Coturnix japonica: one gene and its partner. The protein of the gene in region 1 purifies or fractionates together with the protein of each later gene. This does not show direct contact. Links are inferred from orthologs where the notes say so. Each region holds a gene or a part of one and is shown in the gene's direction. Other genes may lie near its edges.

Region 1 (5,047 bases):
GAAACGCTTGGATATCCAGGAGGCTTTGAAACGACCCATTAAGGTAGGAGAGGGACATTCAGAGACTTACTGTTATCAGAAGAGTAGGAGGGCTTTGAAGGTTGTGTCATAACCCTATAAGCATAGAGAGAACTGTAATGCCCAGGACTTAAGTGGGGGGGTAGAACCAAGACTGCCTCTCTCTGTGCTGTTTGTCCTGAGAGTGGATGTATGAGGAAAAGAAGAATATTTAGCTTAGTTTTAACAAAACATAAGCATGATTCTCATCCCTTTGCTTCTGAATGAATACTGAGCTGATGCTTTTTCTTGTAGCAAAAGCGAAAGCTACGTATTTTTATCTCCAATACCTTCAATCCAGCCAAGTCGGATGCAGAGGATGGTGAAGGAACAGTGGCCTCCTGGGAGCTTCGAGTAGAAGGAAGGCTGCTAGAAGATGTGAGTGTAAGGCACCCAACTGCAGAGCTGATTTGATGGGTCTGGAATTGGAAATTGAACCAGTTTCTTAGTGTCTGGGAGTGTAGCTAAGGGCTTGATATCCTCCTTCATCTCTGTTTTCCAAGGAGTCTGATGGTGACGAGACCGAGAGCCCAACTCGGAGACCGATGGGTATCCCCATGGCAGAACATGAGTTATACAAAGTTCTTATAGCTATAAGAATTAATGGTGAGAGCCGATCAGTAGCACTTGTGTACCCTGGCTCTTAGAACCAGGGCACTCGCATTTTATGTAATTGCTGAGTAAGTTAATTCCTCCAAGCTCATCTTTATCTCCAGTCTTTCACCATTTTTGACTTGGAACTTGATTTTCGAGCATGTGTTGATGAATGTAAGTGTTCACAACTTAAAGGAACACTGCTGTGCACCTTGCCTGTGCTTGAGTCCTGGAACTTGCTCTCCTGACTCTCTCTTCCTTCCTGTGTTGCTTGCAGTCTGCTTTGTCCAAATACGATGCCACCAAACAGAAAAGAAAGTTCTCATCCTTCTTTAAATCTCTGGTCATTGAACTTGATAAAGACCTCTATGGCCCTGACAATCACCTGGTAGAGGTGAGCTTGCTTCTTTTTGCTGTATTATCTCTACAAATGGGTTGTTGTTCCAGCAGATTGAATTTGTGTGTAGTTGGTAACTTGTGAAGTGGGATATTTAAGGCTTTAACAAGTGGCTAGGTGCCAGGGCTGAATTCTCTTGAATTCTTATCTTAGCTTTTCCACTGACTTGCCAGGGCTCTGAATAAATGCATTAACTCTTGTTTCAAACTATAAATGGGAATAAGATGAATCTTCTGTCGTGGGGGAGGTTGGGTGGCAAGCAGCGGGAGCAAAAGGAATCGAGCGTGTAGGTGCAGCTAAATCCCCCTCCTGTTGCACGTATTCCAGTGGCACAGAACTGCTACAACTCAGGAGACAGATGGCTTCCAGGTGAAGAGGCCAGGAGATGTCAATGTGCGCTGCACTGTCCTTCTGATGCTCGATTACCAGGTGAGATGCTGGATAGCAGTGCTGGGCACACGTAGCGTTTGCTATGCTGTATCTGTGGCCATAGTCCCCTCTCACCTCTCTGTGCTTTTTCTTTCAGCCTCCCCAGTTCAAACTGGATCCCCGCTTGGCTCGTCTGCTGGGGATCCACACTCAGACTCGCCCAGTGATCATCCAGGCTTTGTGGCAATATATCAAAACCCACAAGCTCCAGGACCCCCACGAGCGGGAGTATGTCATTTGTGACAAATACCTCCAGCAGGTAACGGGATTTGTGGTGGGAATGAGCAACTGCTTCAGCTTTTCCTGGTCAGCAGACAGCTGTTTGGCACAGCTCCTGTTCCTTCCCTTAGCCTTGTGTTTCTGTCACAGATATTTGAATCTCAGCGGATGAAGTTCTCTGAAATTCCACAAAGGCTTCATGCACTGCTTATGCCCCCGGAACCGATCATCATTAATCACGTGATCAGGTGAGGCTGCTTTACTTGGCTTTTTATTTATAAAAAGAAGAGAACAAAGAATGGATGGGGCTGGCACAGAAAAATGACGTGAAGAGCTCTGATTTTTCAGTAGTAGTTTCCCTGTGTTGCCTGCCATTATTTCTTTACACAGGAATGGGCACCTCTGACACTTACTGTATCCTTCTCTTTCACAAGGAACTCATACTTCCTTTGCATTACCACGTATGTGGGTAGAAATTTGCTTGGAACAGTCACTTGGTCCTTATGCAGCAAAGACATCAATAAAGCTTCGCTGTTTGGTGTTAGAGATGAACCTAACGCTGGCTTGGCTTGTCCCTGCTGGCAGTCCTTATGCTGTACCACCCTAAAGCAGTCACAATTTGATGAGTTGGCTTCTTGAATGACTTACTCTTTCTGGTTCCTTTCTTGTGGATGCCCCCAGTGTTGATCCTAATGACCAGAAGAAAACGGCCTGCTATGACATTGATGTGGAGGTGGATGACACCTTGAAGACTCAGATGAATTCATTCCTGCTATCAACTGCCAGTCAACAGGAAATTGCTGCTCTGGATAACAAGGTAGGAAGAGCTCCTTCAGGTGTGCCATCCTCTTTGCTAGATAGGAGTGTGTCTGTGGAGCAAGATAAGCTCTGATTGTGACAGTTCAGATTTGCTCTTTTGGGCATTTGGAAGTTGGAGTAGGGCAACAATGGGTAGATAGATGGCTTTACCTGGAAGCAGAGTTTTAAAGCAAATGGTCAGTGGAAAAACCAGTAACCTTTAGAGAAGGAAGTTAGGAGCTGTGAATCCTATCTGATAAGTCAGCCAGAGAGTATAAGAATTCACCTTCACACATTGGATCTCTTTATGTTTCTCTGACATTTTTTCCCTATTCAGCAGTCCCGATGCTGTGCTTATCTCCTCCAGATCCATGAAACAATAGAGACAATTAACCAGCTGAAGACCCAGCGTGAGTTCATGCTGAGCTTTGCCCGAGATCCTCAGGGCTTCATCAATGACTGGCTCCAGTCCCAGTGCCGGGACTTGAAGGTAAAAGCTTTTCTTGTGTGGAAGGTGGATCCAGTCACATGCTTCCCTCATTATAACTAGCTCCCACAGAGAGAGAAAGGCAATTTCCTGCTTAGAAAGCAAGACTTGAACTGAAATCAAACATAAGGACCTGACCTGACTGAACTGAAGTTTCTTTGAGGCAAAGGGGGTGCAGTTTTGTTCAGCACAGAGCTTTTGTACTCCCTGAACTGCTTTGTCCTTTGTGCTTTCCAGACGATGACTGATGTTGTTGGGAATCCTGAAGAGGAGCGTAGAGCTGAGTTCTACTTCCAGCCATGGGCTCAGGAAGCTGTGTGCAGATACTTCTACTCCAAGGTGAGTGTCTCCAGGCAGGGGTTCCTTCCAGACCCGGTAGCTTGGTGTACCTGCCACTTCTTGGGGCTGATGCCCTGGTGAAAAAGGAGCAGTGTTAAGCCTTGCTTTCAGACACTGCTAATGCATTATGATCCCAGTTTGTGTTCAGCCCCATCCAGATGGTCCCTGTGAGACTTGAACACTGAGCTGCTGTCTTTGTTAATGTTGCAACTCTTCTCTTCCAGGTCCAGCAAAGACGGCAGGAGCTGGAGCAGGCCCTGGGAATCCGCAACACATAGGTCCTCATCTCCTCCCCAACCAGAAGGCATCAGAGCTGCTTGTGGAGACAGGGTGCTGCAGAGCACGCAGTTAAGGCTCACATAACCACACATAACTGTGGTGCCAAGGCCTGCACCGTCATCCATCCTGGCACTGTCCCTGCTGGGGCAGCTCTAGGACACCTGGGGTCTTCTGGGGTGTGGCAAGCAGACAGGCTCCAACAAGTACACACTTCTACCTGGTTTTCTTCCTGACTGTTGCCTTGTCAGTCCCAAGGCTTCCAAGAGCCTCCCCTTGACTCCGTGCTGCCTGTAGTGTCCCCAGTAGCCAGTATGAATGCTGACTTGGAGTTCAGAAACTCTTCCTCTTCCCATTCCTTTTCAACTAGCATCTAGTTGTGGCACACGTGAGACCTGACTCTGGGAAGCCAGGATCTGCTCAAAGGGTGGAGTTCTGTGGCTAGTCTGGTCTCTGCCTCTGTTAGTAGCAAGGTACCAGGAGATGGAGTGGGCAGGATGCTGACCTACCTCCAGCCCTCCCCTCCCTCGCTGGGAGGGGGCTGCTGCACTGGGCTGCCTCACAGGTCACTCTCCTCCTTGAGGAAGTTACTGGACTGTATAGAGAATTGTTTCTTCCCTTGTCCCTTTTTCCCTGTCCTGCTCCCTCCTTGTTTATGACAGACTGCCTTGAGCTGGGAATCACAGGGGAGATGAAGCATTGTCTTATGGCAGAGATGTGGAAGTGCTGAGAAAAAGACTCTGCTTATGGTTCCAGCAAGCCAGCTGGCTGCTTGCTTTCCCTGTAGTGGGGAGGGAATGGAGTACCTGCCCAATGCAGTTGTGCAGGGGCAGAGTGTTGTATGCTCATTCCTTTGGGACAGTTACCGTGCATCATTTGCTGTGGGGACCAGAGGCTCCTTCCTGTGGATCTGGGAGTGTGGATCCATCACTTGGGAGTGGAAGTAGCCCCGAGTATGTATGAGTTAGCAGATGTTTCCATGCTGAAGCTCCTGTGTTTTTTAGTCAAGTTATGGATCAGGAATGTACAAGTAGACTTTCTTTACCATGGGGAGTAGCAGCCCCTTATACCTCTTTGTGGAGTTATTTACTAGTGAACCAGTGGTCAGGTGTAAGAGAAGGACCTCTTTCAGCCTAGATCTCAGTATTTCTGCTTGGAACTGTAATGCAAACAGACTGTAATGCAAAGCTGGCCACGTTCTCTTGGAACAGCTGCAAAACCACATTACGGACACCCCCCCCATCCCTGCACCCAACTGTGGTGTGTTTGGGAAGGTTGCTATGATTTTGGGAGCCCTCCTCCTGTGTCTGTGTTCCCACATGTCAGTGAGTAATAGACCCTCCCCTTTCTCCTTTGCCCCCTTTTGAAACTGCTCCTCTGTGGTACTGGGGTGAAGGTCTTGGTGCTGATGAAAGAAGCCCATTGACTCCTCAGGGTAGTTGCACATGAAG
Region 2 (5,047 bases), on another chromosome or scaffold:
TGCATGATGTAACTACCAACACAACTGCAAAACAGTGGGAAAAAAAAACAAGGCTAAGACAGCTAACAGCCTGAACTTCCCTCCCCAGATCCTCCAGGCTTCTTTGCACAGATTTAGTCTCTTATCTTTGCACTCACCAAATCCTGAGGCTTCCAGACAACAGCAGGACTTGCAGCATACATTCAGTTCTCACTATCGGCACCAGGCAATTGCTGAGCAGGAAAGATTGGTCGTGCACAGGAACGCCCTCTCCCCATGCTGCACAGCCACACGCCTCTTCTGCTGGCACCACTGGGAGATCTCAAGTGCTGCAAAAGTTACAGATAAATGAAGCAGCAGACGGCTGTCTTGGTGTCTCACAGAATGACCTGGGTTGGAAGGGACCTCAAGGATCATGAAGTTCCAACCCCCCTGGGCCCCCTGTCTCACCCACAAAGCTATCATAAGCCACTCTTGGGGAGAGCAGGGTCTGCCCCAAAGCATCAGTTACCACAGGGATGTTATGAACCACTATGAAAACAAAGCCCAAGTACAGGCACAAGCTGAAGAAACGTCCCCCAGTGTTTTAACACCCATTTTGCTTTACAGCCTTCCCCAACTGCAATTAATTCATCCTTCTCCACCAACTCTACCTTGGGTATTAGTGCCACGTGCTAGAAATCACTATAACACATTAAAGGGCACCATAAAATAAATCAAAGCACACCAACATTACACAGTACAACTAGTGGCAAAGAAAGATTTGTGCTGATCTTCCTCATGCAAACACCTATAAAACTCTTTGAAAAGGCTGACAATAGCAGGACATGGGGAAATGGTTTGAAGTTAAAAGAGGGAAGATTTAGGTTGGATGTTAGGGGGAAGTTCTTCACTAGGAGAGTGGTCAGGCCCTGGAACAGGCTGCCCAGGGAGGTTGTGGATGCCCCGTCCTTGGAGGTGTTCAAGGCCAGGTTGGACGGGGCCCTGGGCAACCTGATCTAGTAAAGGTGTATGTTTGGTGGCCCTGCCATGCAGGGGGGTTGGAACTACATGATCCTTGTGGTCCCTTCCAACCCGGGTCATTCTGTGATCCTGTGGCACACCCACCTCAAGAGCTCCTCCCTCAGCTCCTCCCTCAGCTCCTCCTCCAACTCCTCCCTCAGCTCCTCCCGCCCCTCTCTCCTCACACCGCCCTTCCCGCGCACTGCACCTACACTTGCTTGCTCTCACTCTCCTCTACCAAGCTCCTCACTTCCCGCCTCATGATTGGCTACTCATAAGCAAGCCCCTCCTCCCTCCCTTCTCTGATTGGCCGCTGTGCCCACTCAGCCGTTCTGTTGGGTAACGCTCTGCAGTGCGGGCGGGTGGGCGGACGGCGGCGGCGCTGCCATTGGCGGGAAGGCGCGGGCCTGCGAGCTGCGCTGAGCCGGGCGGCGGGGCGAGAGACCGAGTGCTATTGTTAGCACAGCGCTGAGCAGCGGGCAGCCATGAGCGGCGGTGTGTACGGCGGAGGTGAGTCTGATATAACGACACTGTTGAGCTCCCTCAGGCCCGGCTCCCTCCCGCCGCATCGCTCCGTGTGTGAGGAGAGGAGGCCGCCGCGGGCCCAGGGTCCGTCCGACCCGTCTGGGTCACCTGCAGGGATGGGGCACACACAGCAGTGCCAGGGTCTCACTGCCCTCTCTGAAAAATTGCCCCCTAACATGCGACCTAAATCTCTTCCTTTAGTGTGGAACCATTCCCCATCGTCCTGTCACTATCAAACCATGTAGAAAGTCAGTTTCCCTCTTGTTTATAAGCTCCCTGTAAGGCTGCAACAAACTGTCACTGGCACCTTCTCCAAGCTAAGCAAAGCCAGCTCCCTTTCTCCATAGCAGAGGAGCTTCAGCCCTTTGATTGTCTTGACCCTCCTCTGGACTCACTCCAACATCTCATTCTTATGCTGGGGGCCACAGGCCTGAATGTGGTACAACAGATGGGACTTGGCGAGGGCAGGGCACAAGGGGATGGTCACCTTCCTTGCTCTGCTGGCCACCCCTCCCCTGATGCAGCTCAGGATGCTGTTGGCTTTCTAGGCTGAAAGCACACACTGCTGGCTCATGTCCAGCTGTCTGAGTCTCAAGTCCTGTGCAACACCTTGTACGTGGCCTTGTTGAATGTCATGAAGTTCATGTGGACTCGCTTCGCAAGCCTGTGTTTAGATGCAGCTCTCGTCTGTTAAAATTGCCCTTTTTCTTTTGCCAATGAAAGGTATTGCAGTGTCCTGGTTACAGCCTATCTGTAACCTCCTGGTGGCTCTCAGTTAGCTTGAATTCTGAATAGAGAAATTGCTCTGTGTCTCAGGAAAGATGCTTTATCATATTGGGCTTTTTTTTGTTTGTTTGTTTGTTTTCTGGCAAGCAAAGCAGACAAGAGATAAGTTCAGGTCAGGATTGCAGTAGAGCACAATAACCATTCACTACTTCTTTGTTAACAATCTTTGCAGATGAAGTTGGGGCTCTTGTTTTTGACATTGGCTCGTATACAGTGAGAGCAGGCTATGCAGGCGAAGACTGTCCAAAGGTAAGAATCTTTATGAACTCAGTGGGATTACAATTGGAGCTTGAACTTGTTTATTAGTCATAAGCTTCCAGAATATACTGTTTATTATTATTTAAGGAAAACTCTGAATTTTATTAGCCCCCTAAAAAACAAACCAATGAAAAACAAAACCAAAAACCAACAAAACAACCCACATCCAAAATGAATAACCTTCATCAATATTTTACCTTTTGCTTTACAGGTTGATTTTCCAACAGCTATAGGCGTGGTGCTAGAAAGAGACAATGGCAGCACTCTGATGGAGATAGATGGTGACAAAGGCAAACAAGGGGGCCCAACGTACTACATAGACACCAATGCCCTGAGAGTCCCAAGGGAAAATATGGAGGCCATTTCACCTTTAAAAAATGGAATGAGTATGGTGCTCTGTCTTTTTTAGCTGTCTTTAAGATACAATTGTTAGGCTGCAACAAGTCATAGCTTTCATGTAAACAGATGCTATCCATGTCAACTGTTTTTTCCTTTGGACTTAGAAAGCAGGCTCGTAAAGAAACGGTTCTGCTTTCACTTAAGATATTTTAATACGATAATGAGCATTTTTATGTCTTAATGGGAGACTTGTAGATTCTTGTTTATTTGATGGCTTTAATTTAGCTGTCTCCTTTGATAAAACAATTAAGAAACAAGTTTTTGGAAATAGTTCCTAATATTGTTCCTGTAACGTGTATGGACAGAGGCTATCAGCCATAAGAATGGCTCAATTTACAAAATGTCAGTGGACTTTTATTGTAACTTATTTATTTATTATTATTTATAATAACAATTCTTATTTGCTGTCATGATGCTTAAAAAAATATAGATGAGAATTTGGCAAAGCAGGAGGGGTATAGGGCTGCTGAGGACGGCTTTTGTCTGAAGAGCTCTTAGGAAAAAAAAAAACATCAGGAAAACTTTATGTGGATTTATGAAGTAGATCAAAAGTTAGAAGTAACTAATCTGCTTGCTTCGATGTCGTTGCAGTTGAAGACTGGGATAGTTTCCAGGCAATTTTGGATCACACTTACAAGATGCATATTAAATCTGAAGCGAGTTTGCATCCTGTCCTTATGTCTGAAGCACCAGTGAGTAAAAGGAGCTTTGCATTGTGAGGAGACTTATCAGTATCTTCTTGCTGAATCTATAGACATTAGTCTTGGAGAAACCCAGCACTGGCTTGTAGGTTATGAGTGTTAAAACTGAACTACAGAAGTAACATTTAAAAATATCATGCAGGTTCTGGAAAGTATTCTCAATAGGAAAAATGTCAAAAAAAAGCCCAAATTTGAAAGAATTTCTATGCGTTTCATTAGAACACACTTACTATGTGTTACTGTATTTCATGTATTTAAAAAAAAAAAAAAAAAAGTAGTATAAAATCAAAAATAACCTCACTTGACAGCACAGAATAAAAGCAAAAAGTTGTCTGAATGTCTTCATATATTACACTTAATCCATCTTTGCATGCAATCAGCCTGCCATCTAACGTGACAGGGAATAACACGTGTAGTGGAGTTTTAATTTCGTTTCAGCAAATGCTCCTGTAACATAAATGAGGTGCATGAACACAGATTTCTGGAGAAAAACGTGAACAAAGTTTCTGTCATTTAGTTGTGGAAGTGCTGAGTCACAGCTTGAAGCAGTGATTGAGCACCTCAATCACTGGGCAGGGCCAACTCAGGGATGCATTCAATGTACCAACCCCTTCCTAGACCTAATTTAAGGGTTGGCAGTGAGAGTCTTTTGTTGGGGATCCCTTTTACCTGAAGCTTCTAAGGATAAGTAGTTTTTTTTCCTTCATGTCTGTGTCTATGGCTGCTCTATTTGGGCTGGTTCTCATTTGCTGTAGCTGAAGGCTTTGCCACTCTGTTGTTATTGCTGTCTATCACATTAGAGTGTTATGCTTGAGGGGCATAAAATCTGAAGGCATTAAAGTAGACCTGTAATCCAAGAGTTTTGCCTACTTTCTGTAAATTTACTGTCTGTGCACTTATATTGAAGATATGTATTAATGTTTTGAAGTAGTATTAGAACAATACAGTTTCTAAGGAAATAAATTATTAGGAATCTGTTTCTCTATAGAATTTTGATTTAATTTGAAATTACAACTTAAATAATTCCAATTACTTCCTTGCTTTGTTTGCTTTCTTTTATTATGCTCAAACAATCCTCAAGATAGGTGTATCTTCTTATTTACTTGCTTGTATTTTCTTTTTCTAGTGGAATACCAGAGCAAAGCGTGAGAAGCTGACGGAATTGATGTTCGAACACTACAACATCCCTGCTTTTTTCTTGTGTAAAACTGCTGTTCTAACAGCGTATCCTTTGCAATATTGTGCTGGGTTTTTGTGGTTTTTATAGGACCGAAATGCTGTCATCCAAACTACTGAATACTGTAACTAGACATTGATGTTCCTATAGCCTTAAGATGAATATTTGTAGCCTTATTCAAGTGCTAACATGTTTTCACCTTTAGAATCTAAATGAGTTG

The links. Proteins that work in one complex are often made in the same cells at the same time.
Region 2: the proteins of SMARCD1 (region 1) and ACTL6A purify together in Homo sapiens (affinity purification with mass spectrometry; 8 studies listed by BioGRID and IntAct, with this or other methods). This does not show direct contact. The link is inferred for Coturnix japonica from reciprocal best matches to the Homo sapiens genes SMARCD1 and ACTL6A.

Annotation. Positions count from the first base shown.
Region 1 is NC_029544.1:343,841-348,887, reverse strand, and holds part of SMARCD1 (SWI/SNF-related matrix-associated actin-dependent regulator of chromatin subfamily D member 1), read left to right. Parts: coding exon 1-43; intron 44-312; coding exon 313-441; intron 442-928; coding exon 929-1,045; intron 1,046-1,375; coding exon 1,376-1,477; intron 1,478-1,574; coding exon 1,575-1,736; intron 1,737-1,846; coding exon 1,847-1,944; intron 1,945-2,377; coding exon 2,378-2,513; intron 2,514-2,831; coding exon 2,832-2,984; intron 2,985-3,218; coding exon 3,219-3,320; intron 3,321-3,544; coding exon 3,545-3,598; 3' UTR 3,599-5,047. UniProt on the Homo sapiens protein: Involved in transcriptional activation and repression of select genes by chromatin remodeling (alteration of DNA-nucleosome topology).
Region 2 is NC_029524.1:15,353,782-15,358,828, reverse strand, and holds the start of ACTL6A (actin-like protein 6A), read left to right. Parts: upstream 1-1,328; 5' UTR 1,329-1,466; coding exon 1,467-1,491; intron 1,492-2,464; coding exon 2,465-2,541; intron 2,542-2,761; coding exon 2,762-2,936; intron 2,937-3,540; coding exon 3,541-3,641; intron 3,642-4,776; coding exon 4,777-4,874; intron 4,875-5,047.